Linked DNA regions of Tamandua tetradactyla. The protein of the gene in region 1 purifies or fractionates together with the protein of each later gene. This does not show direct contact. Links are inferred from orthologs where the notes say so. Each region holds a gene or a part of one and is shown on either strand. Other genes may lie near its edges.

Evidence for each region.
Region 2: the proteins of UBR5 (region 1) and SOX2 purify together in Homo sapiens (affinity purification with western blotting; 3 studies listed by BioGRID and IntAct, with this or other methods). This does not show direct contact. The link is inferred for Tamandua tetradactyla from reciprocal best matches to the Homo sapiens genes UBR5 and SOX2.
Region 3: the proteins of UBR5 (region 1) and centrosomal protein of 78 kDa-like purify together in Homo sapiens (affinity purification with western blotting; 3 studies listed by BioGRID, with this or other methods). This does not show direct contact. The link is inferred for Tamandua tetradactyla from reciprocal best matches to the Homo sapiens genes UBR5 and CEP78.

What each region holds. Positions count from the first base shown.
Region 1 is NC_135332.1:146,898,124-146,905,815, forward strand, and holds the start of UBR5 (E3 ubiquitin-protein ligase UBR5), read right to left. Parts: upstream 3,011-7,692; 5' UTR 2,787-3,010; coding exon 2,725-2,786; intron 1-2,724. UniProt on the Homo sapiens protein: E3 ubiquitin-protein ligase involved in different protein quality control pathways in the cytoplasm and nucleus. Mainly acts as a ubiquitin chain elongator that extends pre-ubiquitinated substrates.
Region 2 is NC_135331.1:80,244,148-80,251,407, reverse strand, and holds SOX2 (transcription factor SOX-2), read right to left. Parts: upstream 2,642-7,260; coding exon 1,688-2,641; 3' UTR 602-1,687; downstream 1-601. UniProt on the Homo sapiens protein: Transcription factor that forms a trimeric complex with OCT4 on DNA and controls the expression of a number of genes involved in embryonic development such as YES1, FGF4, UTF1 and ZFP206. Binds to the proximal enhancer region of NANOG.
Region 3 is NC_135328.1:108,966,224-108,974,051, reverse strand, and holds the start of centrosomal protein of 78 kDa-like, read right to left. Parts: upstream 3,086-7,828; 5' UTR 2,975-3,085; coding exon 2,722-2,974; intron 1-2,721. Other genes in the region: centrosomal protein of 78 kDa-like, read right to left, coding at 5,695-5,852. UniProt on the Homo sapiens protein: Centriole wall protein that localizes to mature centrioles and regulates centriole and cilia biogenesis. Involved in centrosome duplication: required for efficient PLK4 centrosomal localization and PLK4-induced overduplication of centrioles.

The DNA.
Region 1 (7,692 bases):
ATTGAAATGCTAGTGATCAATGAAAGGGAGGGGTATGAGGTATGGTATGTATGGGGTTTTTTCTGTTTTCTTTTTATTTCTTTTTCTGAATTGATGCAAATGTTCTAAGAAATGATCATGATGATGAATATACAACTATGTGATGATATTGTGAGTTATTAATTATATAACAAGAATGGAATGATCACATTGTAAGAATGTTTGTATGTTGAATAAAAAATAAATTAACAAAAATCAAACTATATTAGCACACTCCTTTCTATTTCCCCAAACTTAGTAACCCTTAATAAAGTTTGTATCTGTTGAAAATAGGCTGAGCTGCTTGTTACAGTCAATTAAAAAGTTTCAGAAAGAAAAACTCTCAAAAAAAGATTTTTCTCAAGCAATGCAGCAAAAAGCTGATCTTATAACTGTGCGAGTAGGTATGCAAAGAGGATCATTTCTTTTGCAGGGGAGACACAGAACAGCTCCCACCGCAAGTCAACTACTTCAAAACAGGGTCATAACTGTCTCAAATACTGCCTTCACAAAATAAATCTACATGGATGAGACATTTTAGATACAACTAGAGAGCCCTAAAATTTTACGTACAACACCTCCCTTTTTCAAATATTTTTCACAATGATGCACACATTTTATGATCTGAATAAAATCCACTTGTCTTTTTCCTTGTTTCAGGAAGTGAAAACTCAAGAAGATTAAATATTCTTAATATTACACACAGACATCACAGTAATAAAAACATAAGCTGATAAACTGCTTGCAGTAGGCATGGAAAAGGTAGCTTAAAAAAGACATAACTTGTATATTGCTCAATGAAGCAAAATTTAAAAAGTGCAAAAATGAACCATTTACCACAACTGTAAAATAAATAGTTTTTGACATGCATAGCCAATTGAGTAAACTAGTCAGGATTCTTGATACATAACGTTAGGAGTAATATAGAAAATAATTTTCTAAGTTAAGCGCTACTGACATGGTTCTGTGAACGACATTAAACCTATCCTTACTACTAGCCTGGTCTTAATACGATGACTTCTACATTTACAAAGAATCTTATGCTGAAGTCTTAAAAAGATCTCTAACAAAATAAAATCATAGTAAGGAGCACATGACAAAACGTTTAAAAGCTTAAAAGTTATCTCAATATTTAAGGGAACTATGTGACAACTCCAAATAGTTAACATTTCCAAAAAGTATTTCAAAAGTTTCACACACATGTTAAATACAATATGGCTACAGCCAAGATCAGACAAATCCGAACCCAGTGCCAGAAACTAAACAGCCCGCTTTTGGATACAAAAGCTGTTGGCCGACCTGAGGCGGTTACATACATACACTGAGACAGAGACAATATCTTAACAGCAAATTCAGCCTCCTCTTCCCTCTTTGAAGTGAATGACAAACAGGGCGTCATGCAAATTATGTCATCGGGTCACTTAGCAAAAATTTATACCTAACTTCTAAATTTGGGACCAAATGGCTTCTACATTCAAAAGAAATACAGATAGCAGATAAAGCCCTGGAGCGGAGGAAGAGTTTAAATGCCCCATTTTCTGACCCTTTTAACATTATGCCCATCACTAGATCTGAGCCCTAGATTTTAAAGCATGGTTAAATGGAGGCCTCTCTCAACCTCCTGAGTCTCTTGTTTTTGCAACAGTAAAGGAACTTTTCCTGCTTTATCTCAGTTCCCGGTGAGCAGGCGGCCCTGCAATTTGAATATCCTGAACTGGCAGGGTACGCTGGTGAAGAGATGAAGAGGAATCCACAGCGAAAACAGCCTTCTTATAAAAGACAAAAAAATAATAATTCCTCGTCCGCTCATAGCAAACCCATCTCAGAAATGTACAGCGCGTTAAGCAACACTGCGAATTGCAAACGTAAGAGTTTTCCTTTGACTCTATGCACGGTCTTCAGCTGTCAAATTACAACTCAGGAAAACACTATCATTAGAATAAAAAAGGAAACAAAAAAGCTCGCACCAAAGAGACTTGAGGATGAACTGCCAGCACCGTTTCGGAAGAGAGAGAGCAAAGAGAACCCGCTCCCCCACCCCCTGTGGAATTCATTCCCTCCCCGGGCTGGCAAAGCTCACTGCAGGGGCTCAAATTTAATAATAATAACAATAATCATGGCGCTTCCTGCTTCCCTCGCGGCGCACCCCACCCCCACCCCGATCTGCCGGGAATCGGCTTCTTCCCGAGATCCCCAAGCCTGGTGGCTTCCGTACACCCCTCCGGACAGAGCTCCTAGGGGCCGGGGCGAGCCCGCCCCAGCCCAATCCGAGCCCCAAGCCCCGCTTCTCCGCTTCTCCTCTTCCCTCTTTTTACCTTCACCATCCCCCATCCGCATTGTCTGTCTCAATTCAACTTTGACTAATATGGATTCCTCGGGCCTGGGCGGTAATTACAGCCCGCCCCCGGGAACCGAGCCCCCCATCTCCACCGAGTTCAACGCGGCTCCTCTGGGCGGGGGCTGCAGCGCTCTCTCCAGTCTACACCGCGTCCCTCGTCTACACCGCGCTCCCCCCGCATCCCCCGGCCCCAGGGACAAGAAGTTTGCCCTAGAAGGGGCCTAACCGAGGGCAGCAAGGACCACGTCCACCCCCCGCCCCCCAACAGCGGTCGGCCAGCGCGTAAACACCAGCGCTCGCCCCAGCGCGGCCCCGTGGGGGAGGGGAGGGCGGCCCTCCCCCGCTCGCCCGGCGGCCGGCCCTTTTACCTGTCATTGAGCTGGTCCTCGGTGCCCGGCAGCGGGTGAACCACGAAATGGATGGACGTCATGGTGCTTCCTACTCGTCCTCCTCCCGGGGACAGCCCTCTCCCTCTCTCGCCCACCCTCCTCCCCGAATACCCTTCCCCTCCCCAAAACCCACAACTGCCGCCGCCGCCTCCCAGTGCCCAAATGGAGGGAAACAAATGCGCAGGGGCCGCCGCCGCCTCCCTGCCGGGCGTTATGTCCGCGGCCCGGCGGCCCGGCGGGGAGGGCAGGAGGGCGGATCAACACGCCACCCGCTCCCCCCGCGACAGGTCGAAGGAGTGCGAGGCCGGCGGCTGGGACCCGAGGCGCGCCGCCGCCAGCGGCAGCCGGGAGTCGGGAAAGGGGGCGACTGGAAGGGTGGAGAGGGGCGGGCTGCGGGGTCGGTGTGGTCCCGGCGGCGGACGGGGTCCGGACTAGGGAAGGTGGCGAGGGAGATGAGCCCGCACCGCGCGTCACTGGCGAGAAGCCGTAGCCGCCGCCGCCGCCAGCACCTCCGCCGCCATCTTCACTTCTGCCCCAGTTTCTCCGTCTCGCAGGCTCCGCTCCGGAGGGGCGGGGGAGGGGCGAACGGGTGGAGGAGGAGGGAGGAGACCGGCAGGCGGGGGCACGACGGAGAGGGGGCGGGGCTCCGGGAAACGGGCGGTAAGACCTTTTCGATTGGACGGCTCAACGTGGTCGGGCCACGACGCTGTAAGGCGCGTGCGGATTGGCCGGCTCGGCTTCCGAGCCCAGCCCCCCCGGGGGGGCGAATCTCCGGAGTGAGTGTTCAGGAGAGCACGTGTTAGCTAGGAGGCGGCGGGGAGCGAGCTCTGGAGGGAGGGTGTGTGTGTGTGTGTGTGTGTGTGTGTAAGAAGGAAGAGGAGTTCTTGTATGCTTCTTATGATTTCCCTGGGGCAACCCTAATTATTTTGCGGACTCGTAGGGGGTTTTCCTTGTTTTTTCGTCCTGCATCCGCAGTTTTATTTCAAGTGGCAGCGTAAAAACAGTTAAGAAGCAAGAAATAAACAGTTTTATTTTTATTGGAGAAGTAAGGTAGTTATGTAAGGACCTTCCCAGAAGGTAATAGTAGGATCATGGAGCTGACTTTGCAGCAACTTATTTTATAATCCTACGCTTCCCAATTTCCCCCATCACCACCCTCTTCACTTAACACAAAAACAAAATGTGGAAATTTCAAATCTCCTGATTTAAATGATTCATGATTCTTTAAAATTACTTTTAAATGAAAGATGATGTATGTATTCTATATACATATAATGTATATAATTCTATACATTAATTTTTTAATGGTTCTATATGCTTTTTTCTGGGTTCCTATAATCTCATCAAAAAGACAAGAAGCTCTGAGGAACTCTCAAACTTAAGGAATTTAAGAACAGAAACTGAAAACATAAAGCATCTTGTCCAGTCTGTGTGGATGTTCCGTAAGTTAGGGGTCATGTAAAATGTATTTAAGTAGAAATGTCACATTTCCCCTCTTAATGCATAACATAAACACACACTCTTTTGCTTAGGAAGTTCCTTTGAGCGAAATGTGTGAAAATTTATAAATCAGGATAGGCTAGGTATCCCTGGAGACATACAAAGGAACACTTTTGTAGGTCACCATCTCCAAGATTGGCCCAGATTAATTTAGACTAAAAACTGAGTTCAAAATGTCAAAATAAATTTAGATTGAAATACTAGTGATCAATGAAAGGCAGGGGTAAGGAGTATGGTATGTATGAATTTTTTCTGTTGTCTTTTTATTGCTTTCTCTGAATTGATGCAAATGTTCTAAAAAATGATCATGATGCTGAATATGCAACTATGTGATGATGTGAATTATTGATTATTAGAACGGAATGATCATATGTTAATGTTTGTGTTATATATTTTTTTAATTTAAAAATTAATAAAATTAATTTTTTTTTTAAAGTGAGTTCAAGACCAATATGGGGAAGCAGGGTGGCCCAATAGAGACTGCTAGTTTAGAGCCAGAACAGACCTGGATTTGAGTCCTGGTTCTGTAACTTACCAGGACATTGTGACATTGATTAAGCTATTTAACCCATCAGATTCTTTTTTCTCTATTAATAAAATATTCCATAATAATAGAGCTACAAAGGGTCATAGTGAGGTCTGAGTGAGATAATGTATCTCATGCACCTAGAGCAGTTCATAATAGGTTCAGCAAATGGAAGCTTTTATTTACGAAAAACTCACTGTGTACCATTTTGTATACTTTGTGTCTTTTAATCCTCAAGTCACACTATGGTGTAAATAATATTCTCCCCATTGTATAGACGAGAACACTGAGGCCCAGAGACCATAGGCAGGTGCTGAAGTTGAGAGTTAATCCCAGATCTTCTGACTCTGATTCTACTGCTGCCATCTAGTAGTTAAAAATTTAGAAGGAACAGACTGTTCAAAGTCAACAGTAAAAAAGTGATATGATAAATATAATAAAAGTATTATGGAAGTTAAAGGAGGAAGTGATTCCAGCCAAGAGAATTAAGCTGAGCCCTCAAGAATGTTCTGGCCAAATATAATTCCTGGCTTAAACCTGATCCTTTTAAATGTACCTATGAGCCAGCTCCACACGATGACCATACCTTGCCTCATTTCTCTTTTTTCCAAATCTGTCCTTCATCTTTTTCTTTTCATTTTGCTTCCACCCTGCTTCTGACTTGATTTACTCATGCCGAGTTTCCTAGAATTGTGACTTTCTCGCCTTGTTGAAGTCTGGCCTCTTGGCAGCCCATTCAAACTGCCCACTTGATCTTTGACTAAAAACTACCTTGGCATTGATGTTTTTTGTTGTCCCAGGCTGGCATGTTTGGGACAATCCTCCTCTTCCAGGACTCTACACTTTGGTGGTTCACATTTTGGACAGAGGAAAACAAGATAAAGGCACGGGGTTGTGAAAGTCCATGGCATGGGTGGGGGTAGAGGAAATGGAGATAGGGGAATAAAGATAAACAAGGCACAGGCAAAAGCTCTTTGAAGAGTCAAAATTCCTTTCTGATAATTTGGATTAATCTCCCTCTGAGGACAATTAGAAAAGTTAAACAAAATATTTATTTAAATCTGCCCAAAGGCACAAGAGAACTAACAAAATAATAATGAATTACCAAATCAATACCTAAGGGAAGAATGGAACCAGGAAGGTGAGTCTTGTGTTTGTAACCACTTTTTCTCCTAGGGATAAATATCAATTCCAGAAAGATAGGCTAAAAAGCCAAAATGCTAAGCAGTTCTTCTGACCAGCACTCAGGGCTAAGATAACAGGGATTGATGTCTGGGCCCTTAATGCAGTGGGGAGCACTAATGAGCCCCTATTACTTTGTGTTGAGATCTTGAAGGGCTGGATCCCTGAGATAGACCATGTCTTAGATTTGATTTCCCCAAAAGCAGAACTGGAGGTAAAGTTACTTATTTGGGAGGTGACCCTAGGAAGCACTGTGTGGAACTGGAGAAATGAGCCAGGGAAGGAAGAAAAGCCAATAAACAGTATATCCTGATAAATGTTTTACCACTGTGGGTAATTGGAGTTCAGTCTCATTGGGGACCCTCTAAAAGACTGTGTGGAACACACTCAGAATTGTCCCACTGAGTGGGGAGAAAACTGGACATATAGAAATTTATTGATCAACTCCATTCCCCAAGAAGTTCAGGGTTGCTCCTGGATTGTTAATTCGCTGACACTTCAAGCCTTGCCCATTTGCAAGCCAAAGAAAACTCTCAAGAATTTCAAGACCGAAAGTAAAATTAAAATAATACATAAAAAAAAAGAAAATGAAGAAGGAGGAAGAAAGAAAAAAGAAATGTGCGAAAAAATTAGCAGGCAAAAGGAAAATGATTACCCAGTATAAGATCACAGAGCCAAATGGGAATGAAGAATGAAAAGGGAAAATATATAGGTATATGAATGTTGACAGAATATAACAGTAGGGATTTGTGCTGGTTTGAATCTATCATGTACTCCAGAAAAGCCGTGTTTTAATCCTGATCCAATTTTGTCAAAGCAGCCATTTCTTTTCATTCTGATTCAACATTGTATATAGAAACTTTTGATTAGAATATCCCCATGGAGATGTGGGATACCCAGTTGTGGATGTGACCTTTGATTAGATGGAGATGTGCCTCCACCCATTCCAGGTGAATCTTGGTTAGTTTACTAGATTCCTTTAAAATAGAAAACATTTTGGAGAGTCAGAAGTGTCGGAAGCCTCAGCAATGACAGAACAGATGTAGATGCTTGGAGATCAGTTACTTCAGAGAACAGAAACATGCATGTTTGGAGATACTTGGAGCTTAGCAGACATCATCATGAGATGTTAAGCAAGCCAGAACCTGGAGAGAGCCAAGGGAAGTCAAGAGATGAAAGCTGGCTCCACAGAAGCAAAGTGAGGAACACTCACAGGGACAGAGCCTGAAAGTAACAAGAGCAAGGAACCAGCAGAGCCAGCCACCTGACTACCCAGCTGACAGAGTTGGTGTCTGACCCATCGACCTTCCTTGAATTGAGGTATCTTTCCTTGGATGCCTGTAAACTTGCAACTTGATAAATTTCCCTTTTTAAAAGCCATTCATTTCAGATATATTTCATTCCGGCAACTGTTACAAATGAAAACAGGGTTTAAATTACAGAGAGCAAAAATACCATTGGCAAAAACTGACTCAAGAAGAACTAGAAACTTGATAAGTCCTATAACTATTTAAAAAAATCAAATTCTAATTTAAAACCTTTCTTCAAAAGAAACTCTGGGAAAGGATGGCTTCACTTCTTAATTATGCCAAACAGCTAAAAAGATGGCTCAGTGGCAGAATTCTCGCCTGCCATACCAGAGACCCGGGTTCGATTTCCAGTGCTTGCCCATGCAAAAAAAAAAAGTATCAATCTTCCCTAAGCTCTTTGGGAAAAATGAAAAAGAGAAGAAACACCAC
Region 2 (7,260 bases), on another chromosome or scaffold:
GGAACAAAGAACGCAAACCACTTGTTTGCTCTCAGACAATAGCAGGGCCGGAATTATCCATACCCCCAACTCAGCAGATGAGCACTTTGCATGTCTAGTTTGCAATTATTCTTATACAAGAAGTATCATTTCCCTCTATACCCAGCTTTCCAAAAGGGCCTATTGTGCTGTGAAAAAGAAAACAAAACCCGCCGACCTGGTTCTGATTTGGCTCAATACCCCATCTGCTAAGCAAGTTGAAAATTTTCAGAATTGACTCCTTTCTGGCAACAAGTGGCATAAAACAGTTTAAGCATGAGTCCCCATCATGCCTATTCACGCTGCTTCCAAAAGGAGGGGGTGGACTTACGACATATATCTGTAGTTTCTATTTTAGAAACGACATAAGTATCTCCATTTTTAAAGAGTACTTATTTAATTAATCTTCCAGCCACTTATTTGTTGCAGCTAACTTTGCTAGCACACGCTGCAGAGGAGAAATACCAAGGATTTTGCTATTTTGCTTTCTTGGCTGAGCACAGTATTATAATCCCCAAAGGAGTTATGCTTTAATAACCAGCATTATCCAAATAAATAAAAGACTCAAAGCATAATTTCAGTGTCCATATTTCAAAAATTTATTTATCTCAAACTGTGCATAATGGAGTAAAAACTTAAGTTGAAAATGTACCTGTTATCAGGGTGGCATTAGTTCAAATATATACAAGGATTATCGGCAAACTGATTCAAATAATACAGAGCCGAATCTTTAAAATACAACTACGGAAAATAAAGGGGGGAAAGCCTCAAAATATCACAATAAATTTACAGAAATATTACAAACCATAAGAAAATATTTCAAACACAGTAATTTCATATTGTCTTTATCTGAACAAAATGGAAAGTTGGGAAACAAAAGCTATTATAAATTACCGACAATGTCAACCTGCATGGCCATTTGGCTTTTAACAGTAAGTTAAAAAAATTTAGTACATCTAAAACTTTTGCCCTTTTAAAAGACCATGGAGATATTTTTGCCAGTACTTATCCTAATTTGTTTTCCTTTTGTACAATTTTTAAACAATTAAAATGTCCAAATCTGAATAATTTTCTTCTTTCCACGTTTGCAACTGTCCTAAATTTCAGCTGCAGAATAAAAATTCAGCAAGAAGACTCTCCTTGAAAAATATTGGCAAATTCTCAGCTTATAAACAATGGACATTTTGATTGCCATGTTTATCTTGATAAATACTGTACAAAAGTTGCTCGCAAATATTAAAACATTTTTTTCGTCGCTTGGAGACTAGCTCTAAATATTATTGGTAAAGACTTTTGCAAACTTTCTGCAAAGCTCCTACCGTACTACTAGAACTTTTGAAAAGTTTTGCGTAGTTTTCTTTCCTCCAGATCTATACAAGGTCCATTCCCCCCTCCCCACCTCCCCACCCTCCGGCTTTCTCTGTACAAAAATAGTCCCCCCAAAAGAAGTCCAGGATCTCTCATAAAAGTTTTCTTCTCGGCATCCTGTTTTTGCATGAGTGTGGATGGGATTGGGGTTCTCTTTTGCAGTTGTCGTTTGCTGCGGGCGATGGGATGTTCTTTTTTCACTTTATTTGTTTTAGCGTACTGGGTTTTTCTCCAGGCCGTTTCTTTTTCTCCTCTTTTGCACCCCTCCCTTCTCCCTCTCCGGTCCGCGGTCCGGCCCGTCTCACATGTGCGAGAGGGGCAGTGTGCCGTTAATAGCCGTCCCGGGCACCGGGCCGCTCTGGTAGTGCTGGGACATGTGCAGTCTGCTGGGGGCAGCGGGCTCGGGCACCTCGGCGCCAGGGAGGTACATGCTGATCATGTCCCGGAGGTCCCCGGCCTGGCAGGGCGCCCTGGAGTGCGAGGAAGAGGTCACCACGGGGGGGCTGGAGCTGGCCTCGGACTTGACCACCGAGCCCATGGAGCCGAGCGCCATGCCGGGGGTGCCCTGCTGCGAGTAGGACATGCTGTAGGTGGGCGAGCCGTTCATGTAGGTCTGCGAGCTGGTCATGGAGTTGTACTGCAGCGCGCTCACGTCGTAGCGGTGCATGGGCTGCATCTGCGCCGCGCCGTGCGCGTTGAGGCCCGGGTGCTGAGCGTAGCCCAGCTGCTCCTGCATCATGCCGTAGCTGCCGTTGCTCCAGCCGTTCATGTGCGCGTAGCTGTCCATGCGCTGGCTCACGCCCGCGCCCAGGCCGGCGCCCACCCCGACCCCGCTGGCCATGCTGTTGCCGCCCGGAGCCAGCAGCCCGCCGGGCAGCGTGTACTTATCCTTCTTCATAAGCGTCTTGGTTTTCCGCCGCGGCCGGTACTTGTAATCCGGGTGCTCCTTCATGTGCAGCGCTCGCAGTCGCTTGGCCTCGTCGATGAACGGTCGCTTCTCCGTCTCGGACAGCAGCTTCCACTCGGCGCCCAGGCGCTTGCTGATCTCCGAGTTGTGCATCTTGGGGTTCTCCTGAGCCATCTTGCGCCGCTGCCCGCGGGACCACACCATGAAGGCGTTCATGGGCCGCTTGACGCGGTCGGGGCTGTTCTTCTGGTTGCCGCCGGCCGCCGCCGCCGTGGCGTTGCCGCCGCCGCCCCCCGAGGCCGGCTGCGGGCCGGGCGGCTTCAGCTCCGTCTCCATCATGTTGTACATGCGGGCGCTGCGCGCGGGCCCGGCCCGCCAGGCGCCGACCCTCGGCGCGGCCGGGACTCCGGGGGGCGCGCGGGCGGGGGCGGAGGCGACGGGGAGGCGGGCGGGGGCGGCGGAGCGCGGGGCTCGGCGTGGAGCGCGGGCGCCGGGCCGGCCGGGGCAACAGCTAGGCCGGCCGCAGTCCGGGATGGAAGCCGCGCTCCGCCCGCCTCGGACTGCTCCCGCCGCCGCCGGCTGCCGCTCCGGGGGGAGGCCCAGGCCGGGGCGCCCACTGCTCTCCCCTCCTCTCGCTCCGCTTCTCTCCCAGTCTTAGTCTTAAAGAGGCAGCGAACTACTTTCCCCCCTTTGCAAACACTCTCTTCTCCGCCTTGACAACTCCTGATACTTTTTTGAACAAGTTAATAGACAACCGTCCATGTGACGGGGGCTGTCAGGGAATAAATGGGTTTCCAGCGGCCAATCAGCGCGTCGCGGCTCCTCCACTCGCGCCGGGCCCCGCCGCCGGGTTTTGCATGAAAGGGGGCGGGGCCGCGCGGGGGAGGGCGAGGGAGGGGGGAGGGCGAGGGACGGGGAGGGGGAGGCGGCTCCCACAGCCCGGCAGCCAACCACTGAGAAACCTTTGTATCCCCTCTCGCAGCAACAGGTCACACCACACGCCTTTTCGAAGGAAGTGGGTAAACAGCACTAAGACACGATTTTTTTTCTTCTTCTTTTTTCTTTAAACTTAATATTGATTTACTTTTTCGTACGGGGTGCTGAAATGAGGAGGGGGCACGGGAAGCAGCGAAGGGGTGGGGGTGGGGCAGGGCGGAGTGGGTGGTTCAGGGCAACTGTCCAACTAGTATTTCAGGAAACAGGCAATGCAAGAGTTGTTCTGTCATTGTTCTCCCGCTCGTTCGCCGCACTCTCCCCCCCAGCTCCCCCCCCACCCCCTTCCCCAGCACTGCCCTCCCTCACCACGCTCTTCCCTTCTCCTTTCTTCTTCGCCGAGTGCCCGCACTCCCTCGGCCCCACCTCACACTGTCCCGACAAGAAGTTACCAGACTGAAAGCTCTGTCCTCAAACCCTTTTTGCTTCTACATTGCTTTCTCTTATTCTGAAAAATAAATCCCGCTCGGGCCTTGAGGCCGACCCTGGAGCTGAGGACCGGCAGGGCCTTGGCGGGCGGCCGCCTCCACCTTCTTCACGGCCCCACGCAGTGCGTGGAACCAGGAATCCCCAGCCTTCCCTTCTGCTCCAGCCGCGGGCCCCCTCCCCTCCAGTCCTCCACGCGGTTGTTGCGAAGGGGACGCACAGACTCTCGTCCCCTCTCCCCATTTTCCTCCCGAGCCGCCCCCAAAGGATTTCAGTTTCAAAAGGGGCTGGGGGAAGGAGGAGACAGAGCGATGGCTCGAAAGTGCGGGAATGGGGAGAGTAAGTTTCACTTGCTGGCGCCCACTGCACAGCACGGAGGTGGCACTCGGGCCACACTCACAGACTCCCTCCTGCGCAGAGATAGCTCCTAGTGCTCGGGCAGGAACAGCTCTGGCATGTCCCCCGCAGCCATCTACCGCGGTGGCCGCATCCTCGGGAGCCGGGCGCCCCGGGCCCGCTAAGCACAGGCACAGGTGCAGGCCCACGGAGGGGGAGGAGGCCGGCTTGGCGGAGGGGGCCCAGCGGGGCGGGGCTGGCCGGGCTGGGGGCGGGGTAGGGGCTCAGGAATCCGGCCCGCCCGAGACCCAAGATGGTAATTTTAGCCGCACTCCCATTGTCCCGACCTAAAGATTTCAATAGGTAGGCGCTCAATGCCGCGAGCAACGGCAGCACGTCCGTTACAAATAGGTAGTTTTGTTTCTCTTGTTGTCGCTACACGGAGTCAAACAAAGCCCCGTCTAAGTTTCCTTCCACTCTCTTGTTGGGATCTTTGTGGCTAAAATGCACTTGACTACAAAGGGGGAGGGGAAAGAGAAGAAGAAGAAAAAGAAAAAGAAAAACCTGATGCCATTTCTTTTTTTAAAAAAGGCTTAAACCATCAGGATTACTTATTCTCTTTCTTCTGTAACTCTCTTTCCGCCCCCTCTTCCTCTGACCTACCCTTACTCGCCCTAAGAAAATGTACTGTTATCCACCGACCACGCTCCGTATATTGCTTTACAGAACCGTGCACTGTTTTGCTCCTTGCCAGCCCTCTTCACACAAGCGCTCCCCAATCCCTGCCCTCCTTGACTTTTCTGGGCTTGTTCAATTCAGGCTGTGTGTGACTACGGGAAATCCAGAAAAGTTCCTAAAAAGAATCCTGCAGACTCTTCCTAAAGGATTTCCCACCGATCTCCTCCCCCCCACGCCACGCCCCGTGGGCTCTCACTTTTCTCTTAAATTGTGGCTTGTTTTAGGTCTTGGGAGCCCAGGAAGGTGAGACCGAGCTTTTCGGAATGCATAAATAATATGATACGCTTCCAAATAATGTTTCTGTTTAATCGAAGTGTGATATTAGCTTCGATTATTAGGAAAGAAAATAGGGAAGGAACAGCTCGGAAGGAGCTGGGAGAAGGCTCGGCCGGGCTTCACACCGCGCCTGGTTTCAGAGGCGTGGCTGGTGCGCCCCCTACTGGTGCATCGTTTCGCTAAGACTATTGCTTTTACCTTAAAAAGAAAGTGTTTAGAAATAATTAAAGGGAAAAAATGAGGGGGGTGGGAGGAAGATTAAACTAATTACATGTAATCTAAACAAAAGAAACGCTAACAAATCATATAAGCCTTGGAACCAAATCATAAGAATCAGATTTAATTTGCTTAGCAGAAATGAACATATAACCTCGAGATAAGTGGGAGGTTAAACCATGGGAAAAAATAGGTACAAATTATGAGATTCAACATATGAATGAATTATGATTGTCCAGACGCAACGAAGGGCAGAACAAGCATTCACTTTATGATTGTGTATGCTTTGGTCTGAGCTTAATAGCATTATTCCAAAAACGAATCAAAGCTTATGGGTAATTAAGTTTGAAGAAAAAGATAAGGGGTTGGTGTGAATAATGGTAGTGTATATGTTTTAAAATAAATATTAATACCAGATGGTTGCAGAATCTTCAAATAATCACCTCCACCCCCCACCCCATAGTAAGCAGCACATAGTTTTCCTTGGGATAATATATAAAAAAAAGCTTTTATAAGAATTTCAGATGCATGTGCTGCTGTCTGAACTCTCTCATAATGCATTTAAGAGGTGAAAGGGGCTGGCTAGGTCCTTTGTTAATTGCTTTTATCATATAAATAAGCTATGGAAATACATTACAATTGTGTTATCATTGGTTGCACTTATTTACAGCTTTATTTTAATTAAGCTTGCTGAACTTATCAAGGCAATAAACTAACTGTGGCTGGCGTTTATGCATAATAATGTGCTATGAAAATAAGATTAAAGAAGGTGGTGATAATAGAAACAATTTTCTCATTAGATTTTTAGAACATATGCATTTTAAAAATTAGATCACTGGCCACTCTATTTCAACCCAGCACCACTACTGGCCCCTAAATATGATAGTAACTGTGACAATGACAACAGACAACAGAAGCAGAACTGTTAGATTCATAACAGACAGCTACAGAACTGATAATACACCATCGACTACTAGAGTATCAAAATAACACAGGGTGCTTCATCCTCTGAGAACTTAAAATGTTGCTGTGGGCACAATTTGTGAAAATTGAAAGCACTTAAAGACAGGGTAACATTTCCCTTCCATGGACAGTAAAAATCTACACACTTTTGCTGCAAGATTAGTAATTAGGGATAAAATGAATAGTGCCTGGGGTATCCTGATTTGATTTTATTCTACTATAAGCCCTCGTCAAAAAGTCTTAGCTGCCAAGTGTAACTTGATTTTATTAAACTTTTTTTTCCCCATTGCTTTCTCTCTTCTAAACTCCTCCCATCCACCCTCAAGTATTATATCTAGAGCCAACTAACAATTTTGTGGGGATAGGGGACTGTAGACTTATTTTTTCTTCTTAGTGGCAAATAGAGGTTTAACTTGCAGTAATTAGGTGAGAACTAGCCAAGCATCTTACTATTATGATGCTTGTTAAAAAACGCTTCTTTTCTGCATCTGCATTTGAGTGTGTTCCCCTTCTCTCTTAATCTTCTTATGGAAATGAAGGCAAACGGCAGGGAACCTGCAGAGTCTTGGAGAATGTCCTTGTTAACTGGAATTTCTCAGCATTGCTAATTAGCAGAGTTTGACGACCACCAGTATTGGGGAAAGCTCTGTTTAACCACTCACAAACCATTCTGAGGAAGAGCAGACTAATTTTATTTTGTAATTAAAATCTGAAAAGGGTCCTATTTGACAGTTAGGGCTATGAGAGTTTTATCTCCCTGTGAAATAATTACTGCCTTGATAACTCAATTTTCTGAAAAATGTCAACTGTGGGCTCCAAAAGTTTTAATTTCATTACATAAGAAAGGAGAGAGAGAGAGAGAGAAGTAGAACAAAATGTACAGAAAGGATTGCTAATTCTGAAAGTGGTTAAATATATTAGGAGCCAGATTTGGTCAAACGAAGCCCCCCATCCCCCCGACACACCCTTTTTGGTTATGTTTCCTCCACTCCACCCTTTCAGCAATCTCCACTGAAAGT
Region 3 (7,828 bases), on another chromosome or scaffold:
AACTGCCTATGTAGAGATTTTTATGGAAGCAAAGTTGTTAACTTCAAGCAATGACTTCAAGATAAGGCTGAATTTGAGTCTGGAAAGATGAGGATGACTATGTGGAGTAGGAGAGGAGGCTGCTTTAACAAGAGATCAGTGCATGCCAAGGAACCCAGGCCTGTCACATGCACCCAGGCACTGTAAATAGTGCAGCTGGGTATGGCTAAAGCCACAGTTGTGAGTTAGGAAACAGCCGGAATTATGTTAAGAGGTAGGCCAAAGCTAGAGGGAGGCTGGCTTTTATCTAACAAGTGACAAGGTTCAGGAGTGCCACTGGCCTGTTCGAAAAAGGTGCCAGACCAATTCAAACAAAGAACAAGTAGAAAAAGGCACCTACTTCAGACAGATCAATTAGAAAAGGCACCTCTTCCTCAGCAGAGAGGCCCCACAAAGCTTGACCACACAACTTAGATTTTAGCTCCCATCTGCATCCCTGAGTGCAGAGCACACACTACACCATCAATACACAATGGTCCTTATAAGGACAAATCATTTTGAGTACACTAGGCTTTTATTTTAGAAAGATCACTCCGGCTGAGGTAGGCAGATGAACTATGAGAAACAGCTTGGGATAGCTAAATGAGTCAGAAGCTTTTACAATAGTCCAGGCAAAACCTACTTAAGGATGAACAAATGATATACAGGAGGTGAAAATCTACATCCCACATGCAGTGCATGTGGGAGACAAGATTCAGTTAAGGAAATTTGAAGAGTAATGGTCCCTGTAATGCATTTTTCTTACATTCAATGTAAACTTAAAATATTAGACAAGATTACAAACACTAGCATGACTAATAATTTTAAACTCTGCAGTGTGATTGTGAGCAAGTCACTGAAATCTATGCATCTGCTACCTCTGAAAATAAAAGGTGACAGAAATTGTTGCAAAGGTCCTTCCAACTTTAAATTTTTTTTTATTTCTAAGTTATTACTTTGGTGAAGTCCTTTCAGAGGTAAAGAACAGTTCCTACACCAGAATGAGATGCAGTGCATAATCTGACTTCTCTTGAGCAGAGAATGTGCTTAACTGTCCTTGATGTTGAGATAATACATGGCACTACCCCAGAGCCTACATGAGGGCCAAGAACATGGCAGGTGTTCAGTGCTTGTTGAATAAATTAACAATATTTTTCTGTTCTAGATCTTCATACCGTTCCTCTTGGCCAACTCCTTCTTCTCAGCTTATAAATGTACTCAAGCCCATACACTTCACATCTACAATTTTCAGGACCTTCTTTGTAGGTAGCCTTAGTCATTCCCAAACCTTCAAACACTTGACTTTCATAAAACCCAAATCTGTATCTTAGGCCAAGACCCCCTTCAAGCTACAGGTTTCCTAACAGGCATGTATGCACGCTCCTCAGACTGGTGAACTAAGATCCTCTCCCATCCCCAATCCATTTTTGTTGTGGCCTGTATCTCGGTGAAAGGTGCTGCTCTGAACTATCACCTAAGCAGGTCACCTGGGAATTCTTCTGCCTCGTGTCTCTTAATGACCTCTCTCTTCTAACTGGTCATCAGGATCTATCCATTCTCTTTGATTTCTGAAATACAATCCTTCTGGCCAACCCCATACTTTATAATTAGAACCTCTAGATGCCAGGATTCAATTTGCTTTCAATACACTGCCCTCCACAGGAGAATGGAGTGAGGTCCTGAATCTGAGGCCAATCTCATCACTCCATCAACTTAATGCCTCAGGGATTCCTCATAGATATCAAGGAAAAATTCTAAATCCATGACAGGGCAAACAATGTCCCTTGCTTCGGATTTTAACATTCAAATTTTGGCTCGTCTCAAACTTTAAGTTCTAGTTCAGTTCCTCACTTTTGCCATATTGTCTCATATTCCCAAGACTTTTACAGAAGTTGCTCTCTCTTGCCATCAGACTACCTTCTACACAGTCTTCAAAAATAGATCAGATAGCACCTCCCTCCTCCAATTTCTGGGGCTCACTCTACACAGCACTGACCAAGAACTGTGTTTACCTGCTGCCTCCCCCAAGTGAAGGAGAGATTCTTTTAGGTCAGGGGTTGTATCTCCAGTGCAGTGCTTGGTGAGCCCATTCTAGTGCCAGAATGCTTCATACAATCTTTAATCTTAAAACCCTCCATGGAAAGAGCTGTTTTTCATGCCATTTTACGAATGCAGGAATTGTAGTTCAAAGAGTACATAACTCGTCAAGGTCATATAGAATATAAATCCTCGAATTCAAAATAGCCTGTCTCCAACACCTGTGCTCCTTCTATTTCACGCTACTAATAAAAACAAAAAATTTTTTTAACATAAATGGCTTAATAGAAAAAAAATCAAGAAAGAAGCTGGAACGTATCATTTTCTAAACCGCTTTGTTCTTTGTGAGGCAAGGTCATCAGCAAAATAGGTTAGTATTTGTCCAAGGCTTACTGATGTTCCAAATTCTGTGCAACATGCTGTACAAGCATGAACTCAGTTGGTGAATCCCTGAGTTCTGTCACCCAGCCACGTTAGAGGAGAAAACGGAGGCTCGGACATCTAGATCGCCAGGGTCCCCCAGCTGGAAAGGGTTCTAGGCTGCAGAACCGTCTACTGCACACACGCCCCGCGCTCGACACCCACAGCTCCCACCCGTTTCGCGGCTAGTCCAGAGGGAGGCACGCCGCACCGACACCAGGGGCACTGGCAGCGGGAGCTACAAACCTGTTTCCCCAAGCCACGGTTGGAAGTAGCTCTTTATAGAGACCAAGGGCAGATCTTTATTAACCTTGAGGGAGCTCAGGAGGGGCGCCCAGTCCACCACGCGGAGGCGGTCGGCGTTGAAGTCCAGCACGCCCTCCTGGAGGCAGGCGCGCACGGCGGGCAGCGGCACCGAGTCCTGCAGCGCGCACAGGTACTCGTAGTGCGAGAAGAAGTCGGCCGTGCTGTCGCGGCGCAGCTTCACCGAGTCGATCATGGCGAGAGGAGCGGGGTCCTGAGGAAGACCCGCCGCGGAGACAACGCCCGCACCCACCGAGGAGTTCCGGGCTCGCCGTCCGCCACCCTCGGGTGTCCTCGGCTCGGCAGCTGCGGCGCGACGCCTTTCTCAGGAGGGCTGCTGGGCCCGAAGACGCAGGCCCTGGGTCCAGGCTAGAATGGCCCCTCGATGCCGCGCTCCCGCGCCACCTCCCGCCTCGCTGCCGAGGCCGTTGGCACCCGCCTCATCGTCTACCTCGCGCGGATACGGTTCCAGCCGGCGGGAGAAGCCAGCGGCGGTCAGCGCAAGCAGACGTCAGCACGCTCGCCATTGCGTCCGCACGCAGGCCACGCCCCCTTTTAATGGGCGGGCCGGGAGAAGGCGCCAGGGCGCGCAAGACAAAGAAGGGAGGTGGTTGTATGAATCTGGGGTTTGCAAAAAGCGCTAACATATCAGGATAGAAGTGAGATATGAACGTAACTGTGGTGTCTTTAGTCTAAACTTCGAAAATTGTATTCTTGTGTTTGCAGCTCTTGGACAGAGTACAATCAATAAATAAGGGATATATGAACGATTGCTTCAGTGTTCACTGTTGTCCATTAAATGTCTTTTTAAAAAAAAGTTTTTTAAACTTTGTCCGAGTTAATTCCTGCAAATTATTCTGTTTCTAGCTAACTTCCACCGTTGCTGCCGAATTAAAAAGTGTTCTCTGAATTGCGGACATTATTGTGAATACTGTAATTATTGATTACCAATAATCCCTGTCTAAATTAATGAGAAAAACAGCAGACACTGCAATAACGAGTCATTCTACAATATACCTGTTAGTCCTCTTCACAACTTGCAGGGTAGTCAAGCCCAAGGAAAATTTGAGTAATTGTCACAGGCAAGAAGTGTCTAAGGAAACAACAACTCAATGTTATGTGGCATCATGGATGGGATCCTGGATCAGAAAAGACACTAGATACAAACTTTGGAAATCTAAATGAAATATGTACTTTAGTTAATGAAAATGCATCGATACTGGTTTGTCAGTTGCAAGAAATGTAAGGTGTTAATAATAGGGAAAACTGGGTGAGGGATAAAAAAATATTTGACAAATTTGCATATATTGATATAGGAAGATATCCATGATACATTGTAAAATGAAATAGGCCTTACAGAATAGAGACAAATATTATGTATGCATATATACTCATGAGAATGTAAGATACATGAGAGAAGAGACTGTCTTACTTACCTGCAGCATCTAACTGATACATAGTGGGCACTAATAAATATTTGTGGACTGAATGTTAAGTACACAGAAAATGACCTGGAAGAATGAACAGTGCATTATTATCATTAGTTACCACTATTGAGGGGAGTAGGATGGAATGGTAGTGAAGACTTGCAGTGTTTGTACTCTAAATTTCTGATGTTTAGTTTTAAAAGTATGCATTAATATTTGTGCTTCCTGGCTCCTAATGTGCTTCAATCCCAGCAGCCAGCCCCTGAGTCTTCTTTGCTAGGCTGCTCTCAGGCTATCAGAAATGGCTAGTAACTAGTTTAACTAGTAACAGAAGACAGGGGTGTAAAAGCTCTGACAATTTAACCCTTGTGCAATGCAGAGGTATACTTTTTGTCGTCTCTACAGCTCACCTGAGATTCAACCTAATTTCACTGACTTCAGGGTGCTTTATTTCAAGTTGCATCCTTTTAATGGTCTCCTTCCATTACAAGTTCCCTGGATTTTCTCAGAACCGCTCCTCCTCTCAAAGTCTGCTTCCTCTAAGTCACCTGTATAATTTCTTAAAATTTTCTTTAAAAATCAGTGCTTATTGGACAATAAGATAATTGACTTTCTCAAACCTTTCCAACGTGCAAGATTCTAAATTTATGTTAAGAAATATCCAGGCACAGCTCCATAATTTACGGGGCCCATCAGAAAATGGAAATGTGTGGCCTCTTGTTCAAAATGCAGAAAATAATGGGGTTAAAGGTAGAACTTTTTTCTTTCTTTTGAAGTTCCTTTATTTGTCATTATGTTTTTTTATCTACTATTGACTGAATTTCAAAGAAATGAAAAATTAAAATTTTACATTAGCCTGAATTTTCCCGTTCACCTTTATGTTGTGCAATGACATTATTAAATGCAAACCTAAGAACTTCTCACTTGTATGAGAAATCTCCAAAATTATGCAATTTTTATTCTGTAGCTTACACATGCATATATATTTCATTCTTATAGAAGTGCTGCACAAAACTAACTTAGTTTTAATTTCACTTTTGTGTGTGTGTGTGTGTTCTGATCTTTCCCTTGATTTATTTTTCCATTTCCCTACTTTGCCTTAATATCTCCACAAATGTATAAATTAATGTGACAGAGTGAACTGAAAGGTTTAGGAGGCGAAAGGGTGAGAAAGAAGAAAGGTACACCAGGAAATTTAAAGTGTGTGTAGGGGGTATTTCTGTGCTCCAGGCAGAACTCATCAAAGCCAAGATGGAGGGAGGTGAGTGCACATGCGGGCTTTGGCACAGGCAGCTTTTAAGGATGGAGGTCAGGTGACGTCTGGAAGGGGCAGTTCATTAGTTCCGGAAGTCAGGCTGGCGACACAGCCTCCACAGCTCCAGTTGCAGTGCCCTTCCCCGTTTCCCCGACCTAACATTCCAGCCTTTTTGTGATAATAGGGCGCTGAGATCTTTCTGGCTACTTCCTGCTGTAATGGGGCAGCGTGGGGTTATAGGCCGGAACCATCATGACTAGGGGAGTGGGGAGGCTGGCTGTAGGAATCTGGTGAGGAGGGCAGGTGATGATAATGATGCAGGAGCATCTGGTTGACTGCTATCCAGGATAGTTCCTTCATGCATCCCTGAAGGAAGTTGAGGAGGCAGGGAGCTAGGAGAAAAGAGACAGATTAGGATAACTGGTCCTAGTAGCGGGAGGAGCCATGTCGTCAGAGGAGAAGAAAACCAGCTTAAAGCAGAGTTGGTTCCTCGTTTTCTGTGGTAGAGATCGTCTCTTAGTTTGTTTAGGGTTTGAATATTTTGTTCCACCAGACCTGACTCATTGACGTAATAACAGCATTCCTCTTGGAGGAATATACACATTCCTTTTTTCAGATGTCAGCAGATCTAAGGGCCGTCAATTTTGAAGAGTTACCTGTGCTAGTGAGATAAGTTGGTAATGTAAAGAGGAGAGGGATTCTGATGTCAATTCCAGGGCTACCTGTAGTCAAGTTTCGAAGATTTGAAAGGTTAAAATACCATGTCCCAGTGCCCCTCCCAGTGTGGTTGAGGCTGCAACTGAGGCAATTAGGTTGATGCCTCCCATGATGGGAAGGAAGGCAGCCCTTTATGAGCGAGGAGAGGGCAGTAGCCAGGTTAGTTCGGACTCCCCATAGAGGGTCAATTGAGGAACAATAGTAACCAGGAAGCATGGTCCTGGGGCAGTGGAATTAAGGCACTTGGTAAGAGTTCCATTACACCAGAAATATTGTCCTTTGGGGGCATGGGTGCTGTGGATAGTGACGTTAGTCTGGCACTTGCTATGAAGTTTTGTTTGAGGGTTTTTTATCCAGTGTAGTGAGGTTCTTAATTTGGCAAGAAGATCTTGCCCCATTAGCGGGCCGGGGCAAGAAGGCATTACTAAGAAAGAATGTGTAATGGGGTACCCTTCTATTAAACATGTAAGAGGCCCAGTACTTAAGGGGCGTGAAGGATGGCCGTCTATGCCCATAACTGTGACCTGGGAAGGAAGGAGTTGACCTGAGTAAGAGGGGAGGACAGAAAAGATAGCCCCTGTGTCCACTAAAAAGGAGGTGGACTTAACCGCTACCTTGATTGTTACGCTGGGCTCAATGAGGGTGATTGAGGTCTCTGAGGCCGGGCGTTGTCAGTCGTCAATGGCCAGGCCCAGGACTGCTAGCAGTAGGTTAGGGGTTGGAAGGATGGCCGCTCCACGGCCAGGCGCCAAGGGGCAGTCACTTTTCCAATGTCCCTTTGTACCACAGAGAGGGCATGGTCCCTTGGGCGGTCGAGGACTGGGGCACTGGTAGGACCAGTGTCCGTCAAGGCCACATTTGAAGCACTTTCCTGGTGGTGGATTAGTCGTACCCAGTTTCGTCTCTGTTGAAGTGAACCGCAGAGCCGCAATCAGGGATTGGGTTTGTAAAGTTGCCTTTTGGCGGTCCCGGGATTCCTTTTCTGCCCTCTCTAGTTCATCATGAGTATTAAAAATTTTAAAGGCAGTGTTTACCAGGTCACAGATAGGGGCCTGAGGACCGTCCTCAATTTTTTTAAGTTTACACCTTATATCTGGAGCCAATTGGGATATAAAGTATGTGGCTAAAACAGTTTTACCAGCCTCTGAGTCGGGGTCTAGGCGGGTATATTGGGAGAGGGCTTCTGCGAGCTGGTGTAGAAAAGTGGCCAGGTTTTCATCAGGACCCTGGGTAATTTCCCTTAGTTTATGGAAGTTTACTACTTTATGTGAAGCTTTCTGCATGCCGACTATGAGGCATGTAAGCATTTTGTCCCATTTAGTTCACCCGTTCCTCCCCACTGGAGTGTCAACCTGATATTTCCACCCTGGCTCTTGGCCTGGCACTGCCTCGGCCCCTACCGGCATTGTGTGGTCGGTTATATGCACCTGGTTAGCATGAGCCCTGACTGCATTGAAAATGCGGTCCATTTAATCTGTAGTTAGGGAAGAAGAGCAGATTACATGAATGTTATGCCAGGTTAAATTGTAGGCATTAGCTAGATATTGAAATTCCTTATTATAGGCGCTTGGGTTGCTGGAGAATGAACCTAGCCATTTCTCAATATTAGAGAGGTCAGCTAGAGAGAAAGGGGTGTGTACTCGAACCCCTC